2 linked regions of the Drosophila melanogaster genome follow. The protein of the gene in region 2 interacts with the protein of the main gene of each other region in a pairwise test. Each region holds a gene or a part of one and is shown on either strand. Other genes may lie near its edges. The genes, in order: CG14965 and HLH4C.

What was found.
Region 1: the proteins of HLH4C (region 2) and CG14965 interact in a two-hybrid assay, tested with the Drosophila melanogaster proteins (2 studies listed by BioGRID).

What each region holds. Positions count from the first base shown.
Region 1 is NT_037436.4:3,190,006-3,194,475, forward strand, and holds CG14965 (uncharacterized protein), read right to left. Parts: upstream 2,487-4,470; 5' UTR 2,426-2,486; coding exon 752-2,425; 3' UTR 617-751; downstream 1-616. Other genes in the region: CG14958 (uncharacterized protein), read left to right, coding at 1-9, 115-531.
Region 2 is NC_004354.4:4,644,404-4,649,373, forward strand, and holds HLH4C (helix loop helix protein 4C), read right to left. Parts: upstream 3,012-4,970; 5' UTR 2,904-3,011; intron 2,040-2,903; 5' UTR 1,965-2,039; coding exon 1,461-1,964; coding exon of another isoform or gene 1,389-1,460; 3' UTR 724-1,388; downstream 1-723. Other genes in the region: CG3062 (uncharacterized protein), read right to left, coding at 355-381; mRpL30 (mitochondrial ribosomal protein L30), read left to right, coding at 3,564-3,691, 3,772-4,186; torsin, read right to left, coding at 4,282-4,970.

The sequences.
Region 1 (4,470 bases), on a different chromosome or scaffold from region 2:
CTCGGTTTGGTAAGTTAAAGAAACCCTTAAAACAGTTCTTAAACCAAGTTGCCTTTGGATTTTGAAGGTTTGTGGCCACAAAGTCGTATCTCAACATTCCTTATATCATTTCAGATTGCCTTGGTGGCCTTTCCAATCGCTTGGATCCAGGCAGACTGTAATGTATGCCAGTCAAATGGAGCCTCCTGCATCAACCAGACCGCATACAATTTGTGCTTCGGCTCCACTCAGCCGAATACCAACCAAACCTTCGTCTGCACGGATGGCCTGGTGTGCACGGACCAGCCAGTGATCTGTTTCCAGAGGGGCGAGAATCCCGCCAGTTGCGGCGACACTGATAGCTGTGGCCAGTGTGCTCCCAACTACACCTTCGCCTGCACCTCGCGCTCAACCTTCGCCTTCTGCTTTGGCGCCATAACGCCCACAAATGTGACGGGCAGTTGCCCGGATGGTTACTTCTGTGACGCCTCCACCCAGGAGATCTGCGTCACCAAGGCCACTGATGACTCCATCATCTGCCACTTGAATTAGCCTCGCTAATTATTGGATATAAATAAATGATTTTGCCTAATAATATATTGCTTTTGTTATTAAATAAAATTCGTTTTGGGTAAATGGATTTAAAAGCGTTTTTTATATACACCTACTTTATTAGATGCATCGGAACTGATGTTATGCTTAAAACTAATATATAAAATAATTTATCAGTAAAATACCCCTTATATTGCCAAGTCTATAATGGCAAAATAAACTATAAGTCTAGAAACTCTTCCGAATTTTCCGTATTTTTTTTCTCCAGCCAGGAGCGTGCAATCCGCATCGAGGGCAGGCGGAAGCGCCACTCGTCGCAACAGTACTTGTACACCTCGTCGCCCAGTTGAAGTAGTTCGGTGGCAAACTCTCGCTCGTCATCCTTCCAAGTGCGTTCCTCAGAGCCGCCGAACATTTCCATGCGCAGCAATGCGGCCATCGTGGGCCCCACGTATTTCTTTATTGCCATGTATAGCTGGGGTTTGCTTAGAGAAAGAGCAGTGGGTTTGATTGCAGCTGAAGTCCACGGGGACTCCGCTTGCAGTCGTTTTAGTTTGGCATTCTCCTCAGACAGCTTTTCAAACTCGGCCTGCAGTTTATCGTACTCCTGAAGAAGCTTATCGCGATGGGCATCTTCCGATGAAGATGGTTTTTCATCTGGTTCAGACTCGTCCTCACTGTCAGTACTAAGTGGTATGTTCTCTTCAAGGTTTAGAAAAGATTCAGATAAGGTTTCGGAAATGGAATCACTCTGACTATTTTCTTTGCTAGAACTAAGATTAATTTGGATGGATTGGGTGGGTTTCTCCAACATCGGAGTCTTCTGCTCATCCCAGAATTTCTCTTGCAATTGTGTATATCGGTTCAATATCGTACCGTTCTCAGGTGAAGCGTGGGAGTCAGTCTTTTGTGCTTCTTGGGGTAGCTTCCTTTTCTTAGCCTGCTCCTTGGTGGATTCATCTTCGTTCAGTCTATCAGCATCTGCCTCCTGCATCCCACGTTTTCTAACCACAGTCCCTTTAATTGGTCGGTACTCTTTTCTAGTTGGCACTTGCTTTTCTTGACATTTATCGGCAAGCTTTGGCATTTTCATAACGTCAATAATACAACTTTTTGATTTAATTTGCTTTTCTGATTCCTTGGTGACTGTTCGCATCTTGCTTGTATCATCAGTTTGTTCTTTTGGGAGCTGCTCTTCAAGCTGAAACAACTCATTCTCGCTTCCTGATTGACGCTTTACTGGTCTTTTAATCAATTTGATGCCCAATGAAGGCTGAAGTTGACTTATGATATCTAGAATGTTTTGAGGCATAGCCGAAGCGCTTGTTGATGTTGTAGAACTCTTATGCGCCACCGTTGTTTTCTCCGTGTGTACAACCGGCTGTTCCTGCTCCGTAGCCAGCACTTCGTCGGCTTCGTCTTTCCCTTGCGGTTCCTCCTCTTCTGTCAACTCTACTGTATTTCGTTTCTTAACAACATCCAAATTCTGTGTCTCACCATCCACGAATCCCAGAGGACACTCGAAATCTTTAGGTGGTATTAGGTGTTGCTGCTTTGGAGGCGTCAACTTCACGAGAAGAGCTTCACCGTTCTGGTCGAGATTTTCATAGTCTAGTGCCAGATCCCTGTTGATCCTGAACAAAGTGGGCGTCTGCATTGGGATGAGTCTGTCCATTTTGTAGTTCATGAAGCATTCCGCTCGAAAGTGCCGGGCACAAACTGTTTTGGCTGCCAGTTTGGACGGCGGTGCATTTGAAACGTCAGGGTTTGAACAATTCCTGACCCAATCTTTCAACCTCTTCGGATCCTTAACGGGGAACTTGAAGAAGTGCATATTGGGGTTGCGGCTAGAACCCACCGGACAATCACGAAAACAACACTTAGTGCCGCCCATTTGTTTAAATATAAGCAAACAACTTTTATGTTATTAGTGGTGGAAGTGTTAGCGTCAGCTGGTGATATCGATGGGAGGCATCGATAACAGAATTGACCGAAACCAAATGATCGATATGACACTTCTTAATTAATGAGAGATTTTTTACTTGACTGGGCTTGTAGCAGGTTTTGCACAGAAGCAATTATTTTCCGGAATGTGAAATGTCTGCTTTTTAGCTAATTACAACAAAAACTTTCCAATTTTTGTTCCCCAAACCCACTCAAGTGATTTCAAATTTTACCGTCCGCTTAAAATGGAACTAGTTTATTCCAGAGGAACCAGCTTGCACCACCAAGTCTCTGAAACTCTGGAAATATCGATAGTCTGGTGGAGAAAAGTATTCATAAATATAAATAAAAATTAACAGGTCATAAGCTGATTTGTTTATTATTTACTGTTAAAACAAGTAAAATAATATTGGGAACAATTAAATTTTCCATTTTCCTAATTACAGTATAAGCCTAGTGGGCGTTTTGATATCCAATTGTAATGTTTTAAGCAATCCCAGTGGGCTTTGCTCAATCGTTCGGACCACTTAGACGAATTTCCACCAAACTTAGTTCAGTATAATTTTTGAATTCGCCCGCACAGGTTGCGCACTTTTCGACCGTATCACAACACTGATCTACCCTAGTATTCACAGGAAGTTGCATCCCTGGCATCCAGAAGCCTCTAGAAGTTTCTAGAGACTTCCAGTTCGGGTCGGGTTTTTCTATAAAAGCAGACGCGCGGCGTTTGCCGGTTCGAGTCTTGAAAAAAATTTCGTACGGTGTGCGTCGTAACAACAAGCAGCGTCTGAAAAGTTTTGTGAATTTCCAATTCTATACAAAGCAAAGTGAAAATATCTGTATTTTTACCTTTATTCTGTGAATAGAACGAAAAACATACATACAAGGTGAGTAATGCAAATTACAAGAAAAGAGTGAATAGTTTATCAGTGGCTATGGCCAAAATGTGCATTTTGCGTGGTCCTGTGCATCTCGAATGTTCTTGACCCAAATGTGAGATATTGATTTTAAATTTCTAGGAGCCAAGTTTAAGAATTTTTTTTGATTAATTAAGAGGTGGCAACGTGCAAATTAACTCAAAATGCCGGTTTCTTTTATTTTTTGTCGCTTGGACGCATCTTCCAGAGGTTTCTATGCTTTAGCATGAATTAAACATCGTGCCAAATAGGCCTTTTAATTATATATTACTGTCCTTTATTTACAATTACATGTGGTTTATAGAATACAAGATTAATTTTTGTTTAATGCAATGGTCTTTTAGCGCTAAATCGAATTATGCCGCTCTTTTTAGGGGGTGACAATGCGCAAATCACATTTGCCGCTCGAGAATGTTCTAGAGGTTTCTATGCTTTAGCATGAATTAAACAGCGTGCCAAATAGGCTTTTTAATTATAAATTACTGTCCTTCATTTACAATTACACGTGCTTTCTTTGCATTCCCATTTTAAATTGCACATGCCGCATACGCACACATGCACGCCCATGACTAATACTTTCAAGTAAAAATGTGGCGTCAGTAAGCAAATTCTGTTAAATCGGTTTTTTAATCCTATTTGCTCTATTTTAATTGGTTGGTTGCTACTAGCAACTTGCTAGGCGAATTAGTTTTCCTTTGGCTTCTAGATGCTTCCACAAACTTCCTTGGTGAAGTACGAATTTTCAATGCAATGCTCACTCACACAGACACGAGTTTGCACACAGCAGGGGTAGAAAAATTATCAACCGACCCAATTTGCATAATTATATTTAAATATTTAAATTTAAAACATTATTTTGCAACTTAAAATCAATTCTGTTGGCTAATTGAAATTAAAATTCCATTTTACGGGTTGCAAAGTGAATGCTATAATTTTGACCACCACTGTACTTGTATATGCGCATGTTAAATGAGGCATGTGCAAAAGAGAAAGAAAGAAAAAGAATAAAACCGGAGCAGCTGCTGAAAATGCAGCTGCTTTTCCTTAGTGTTGAACCCACAGACTATAACTAATCCTA
Region 2 (4,970 bases):
AAAAACTAAAATATGCACACAACAAAACTTCCTTGTCGCCTGGCCTTTGTTTTTGTTTATGAACGCCAGTACACCCACACCCATGAAAATAGCACCCATACAGGGACAAACAGCCGATTGTCGGAATGCAGGAGTCGTTTTTCACTGGATAGAAAAGGATGGCGCCGAATCGAGTTGGTTGCCATTGCCACGTTTGTTGTTATTATTATTGCGAAAATGTTTACATCCATGGATCCACACAAATATATATATATGTATATATATATATACCCGTTACCCGTACCAACCAAATTAGGCCACTATTTATGGATATTGAAAACAGCCTCCCAATCGACTAGAATAAATTTGTCTTACCTGCTGTGCACTAAAATGAAGGGCCATTTCGAAATTTTGCACAAAAGTCGAAATTTCCGTGACGCTTTCACAGTTTCTAAAACAAAAAAATAAAAATGTATCCTCAATTTTTGAAAATTATGACAGAGGCTGCTCTACTTCGCTTTTACACAAATGGGCGGGGCTTGGCGCAAAGGACACGCCCGCTTTTGATACGTGGATACGTGGTTCTTGAAGGTTGGTGAAAAAGGGGGAACTGTTAGCATCTGGCTTTTCCGAGCAAAGCGTTCAGACAAATGGAAAACTCAGTCAGAGCAGCTGGTGTCCAAAAGTCGAGGGGAGTGTCGTGCAAAGGCGCGCCAAAATACATAAAGTAGACAATTTTTTATTGCGATTACAATGCTGTATATATTAATCGTTTGAGTATAAACAAATATCACGACTTAAAGGCTAGACAAAAAATGGATCTTAGTTTAAGGTTCTGTTTTTTTTTTCTTGGTTATTTATATTATATAAACCATGATCAAGGTTTACTCCGAGGATTAAGCACTGCTTTCCCATAAATTTAATTGTATGTACTACTGGCATATTTAGTTTTGTTATTTCCTTCGATATTTCTACTTTTCAATTAAATTACACAAACTAATAGCTTATATCTTCTACATTTAGTACGGGCATATTTTAACCTTAGGTTAAATCGTGGCTTTACAATTGTTTCTACGAAAACAAACCTAAGCCTAAAAAAAAAAACGAATCGAAACGAAACGACGGGCATTTGTCTTTCAACAGTGGCAAGGAAAAAAAAAAACAAAAAACAAAAAAATGTATGTATTTAACCATAGGTTAAATAGGTTAGCAAATCGGCAAAATCCATCGAACACTTCGGTTAAGTTGGTGAGATGGCTAATTCGATAATCGCATTATCCATAGCCGCCACCGGCAAAGTATCCAATGGAGCGATGTGCGGATTACAGAGCATGGTGAAATGCGTTTATCGGATGTGGAATATTCGCAATGTTTTCCCCCTAAATCCGCCCGCCACGCCCCCCCACCTCCTACGGGGGGGCGAAAAAATTGGCCTCGTTAAAGAGGCAGCTGGTGGCGAAACTGGAGGCGCCGGCGCTATCTCAGGGCGTCTCCAGCACATGATTCAAATAGGCAATGTAGCAGATGGCCAGCTTGAGGATCTCGATCTTGGAAAGCTTCTTGTCCGGCGGCAATGTGGGCAACAGCTTGCGCAGCTCGGCAAAGGAAACATTGAATGCCTCCACCCGTATACGCTCCCGCGTCGCATGTGCCGTTCGGTATTTGAGTGTCGCTCGCCTGCGACGACGCCGCTCCTCCCGCGATAGACCCACCAATTCCGATGGATCCAAATGGGCAATGGGCGTGGTCCGGCGACGTGGCGCCGGCGTGGGCGGCGGTGGCGGTGCCGGTTGTGCGGCCGTTTCGCACGCCATTCGCGCCTGAAAACGCTTATCGATATCCAGCGTCGTACTGGCCGCATAGTCCTCGTTGACCAGATGCGGATTATTTGGCCCAATCATCTCATCATCGTCGACCAGATAGTAGCGACTAAGCGAAATGCTTTGCGGCGGACCCGCCGCCATATGGCTCATATCGTAGACCATTCTCTGGCTATTTGCACCACTGATTTCGGTGCTGGACACTGGACTTTCTTGCGCTGCCCAGCCTGCTGCTGAATGCTGGAAATGGAAATGGAAGCAAGAGGATGCACAGCTTAGACTATGAATACAACGAAATGTGTACTTGATTGCTTCACAGATCTGCATTTCAAACTCAAGGAAGACGAAAAGTGTGGCTACCTTTGCGGTGGAGCGCTCATGCTATTGAAAAAAAAAAGGTTACAATAGGCGTTGAAGAAATCATAATCCTTGCACTCGAATTATTTATGCTTCATTTGTGGACATTTGTGATGAAGGGTGTCCGTGTGTGTGTGTGTCGTCCTTGCCGATGAAGGACACACCCCTTTTTCGCTGCATTCTGTTTGCGTTTGCTATTATTTTCATTTATTTTTATTGTACTTATTGTGCTTATTGTCGGCATTGTGCGTGTATTGTTTATTCGCAGCATATTTTCACACCTACACAAATAGCTGAACAATCGGCACGTTTATTTGCCCGCGGGAGTTGGCAAACCTCAGCGATGCCAACCCCTTAGGCTTGGCCACCCTTTTTTGTATTGTTGCGGTTAACGTATGATTTTATATCTATTGATTTAATGGGTTTTGGGTCCAAAAAGTGTCACTGGAATTGCATCAAGTCGAAGACGTGTCTATTGATCCCATGGGATGATGGAAATCCGATCTAGTTTTAAGAACTTGTCGTGTAACTCAAGTCCCCTCAAGACTATGAAACTCCAGTACACTTACACATGTCGAGTGCGTGCACATGGTCAAGTTAGCTAATTAACAAATTTCTAGATATAATTTTAAACGAACTAGAGACTTCATTCAGCTATTTGTATCTTTAATTTGATTATTCTACTCGCTAGTACATTCACTTCATTTGCATTGCTCACAATTTTTGGGCTTTGTTGCCTGAACTTACAGCAGTTATCACAGGTGCAGAGTTATTCTAGATCCTTGAGTTGTCTGGCAGATATCCTTGCTTGCCACTAGAGTCGGTTGCTCGCCGGATGGATGCTCACGTGGAACTGACTTCCGGTCGGGAAGCTGCAGCCTCCTTTATAACCAAAATCGGAAACAACCCCATTGCGTTGAAAGCCAGCCAATGCCAAGTTATCCACCCTCGTCGATTAGCGCCAATTGTAGCTGACAAAATGGCGGAGATTTTGATATGAGACCGCCCCTTTCCAGAAATGGACATCATCCCCTGGAGGCTGTGTAATCCGATGACCTAAAAACTTTCTTTTCTCAACTAATTCTTGAAATATTAAAAAAAAAAACAACGAATATATATTACCATCTTATTGATAATGTTTTCGCTATCTTCAGTTTGTAAATGATAAATTATCTTCAGTTTGTACATGATAAATTATCACTTTTAACTTTGCCGCCTTTGCATTTGAATTGTATCGCTTAACAGCAAGCGGTTAACATTGGTTTACATAACGGCAGTATCCATGCTGCCCATCGATAGGCAACTAGTTAACCAGATGTCTGTGTAATCGTTATCGTCGGGGAAACATCAATTATTTCATAAGCGTTTTGCATTTAATTTTATTACAAAGGGGGGAAAACAATTAAGATGAACCTGGGAAGGCTGCTGAATCCACTGAGGAGCACCGCATGTTCGGTGCGCAGCTACGGAAAGCACAACAAGAAGTTCCTCTACAAAAATGGCCAGAAATTTGAGGGTATCACCTACTATCCCAGGTTCGTATTCACGTGTGCAGTGTATAAAAGGAAAACACACGAAATCCAGCATTTGTTAATGCTAAATCTATCCCGCTCAGGACTCCCGATCACCAGGATCCACCCGTGGAGCCGGCGAAACTTTTCCGGGTGCAGCGCATCAAGCCGCTAAAGGGCAATCCCTACTGGGAGAATCGAATCCTCAAAGATCTGGGACTAGACGGAAAGCAGAGCGATTTTACTGTCGTCAAGAACATACCGGAGAACAATGCCCGCCTGTGGAAGATCAAGCATCTAATTAAGGTTACGCCGGTCACGTTCCCCTACGGAGAGCCCACTGCCCAGGATGTCCGGCATACGATACTCAAGGAGAACGGCGAGTGCCTGGTAACCAAGGACCTGGGACCCATCGATACCCGCCTGGCGGCTCGCCAGGATTACGACGAGCAGCCCAAGCGACTGGATACCGATCTGCTGCGCAAAGATGCCCGCCTCAAGTGGCTAAATCCCTGGTAGTTAAAATTTGTTTTCTTTATTCCGAAAAAATAGTTTTTTAAATACAAACCGAAACCCAAACTAAGCATTAAAATGTGGAGTCGGTCGGTCCTTTCTCAGTAAATGGCCATGGCCACCTTCTTCTCCAGCGTCTTGCAGCCCGAAATGGCGAACAAGCTGTGCGTGCGATCGTAACTAATGGAGGAGTTTATTATGTCCTCAATGATTTTTTGGTTGTTCGCTTGCTTAGGATCGCGCCGCCACCTTAAAAGCTCCGCCTCCAGGCACTTGATCACATGCGCCTTCTCCATCGGCAGGAACGGAATGAAATGATCGATAACATGAGACTCAATCATGGTGGTCTTTTTCATACCGCCATCCATGTTATAGGCGGCCTTCCGCAAAAGGGGCTCAAAGTCACTCAGTCGTGTGTCCTCGCGCAGCCTACCATTCTTCATCACACTACCCAGATGACTGGCTATATGACTGCCCGCCGTGTTCGAGAGAAAGATGAAGATTGCCTTTGTGTTATCCGTGCCATCGACAAAGGCGTTGTAGTCCACCAGCGAGGTGAGCTGGTCGAATACTCCGCTGGGCATTTTATCCACCTCGTCGAAGATGAACAAAGATCTCGGGCAGCTACGCAAGGTATCGCGCACCGCATTATTGATTTTCACCCTATAGTTAGACACCTCACTTTCCTTGGGAAAGTCAGCTTGTCCGAGATACTTGGTTACATAGTTCGACCTGGAGCCCTTCAAATACATAGCATCTGCAATTTGCTCAGCCACAAAATTCTTGCCCG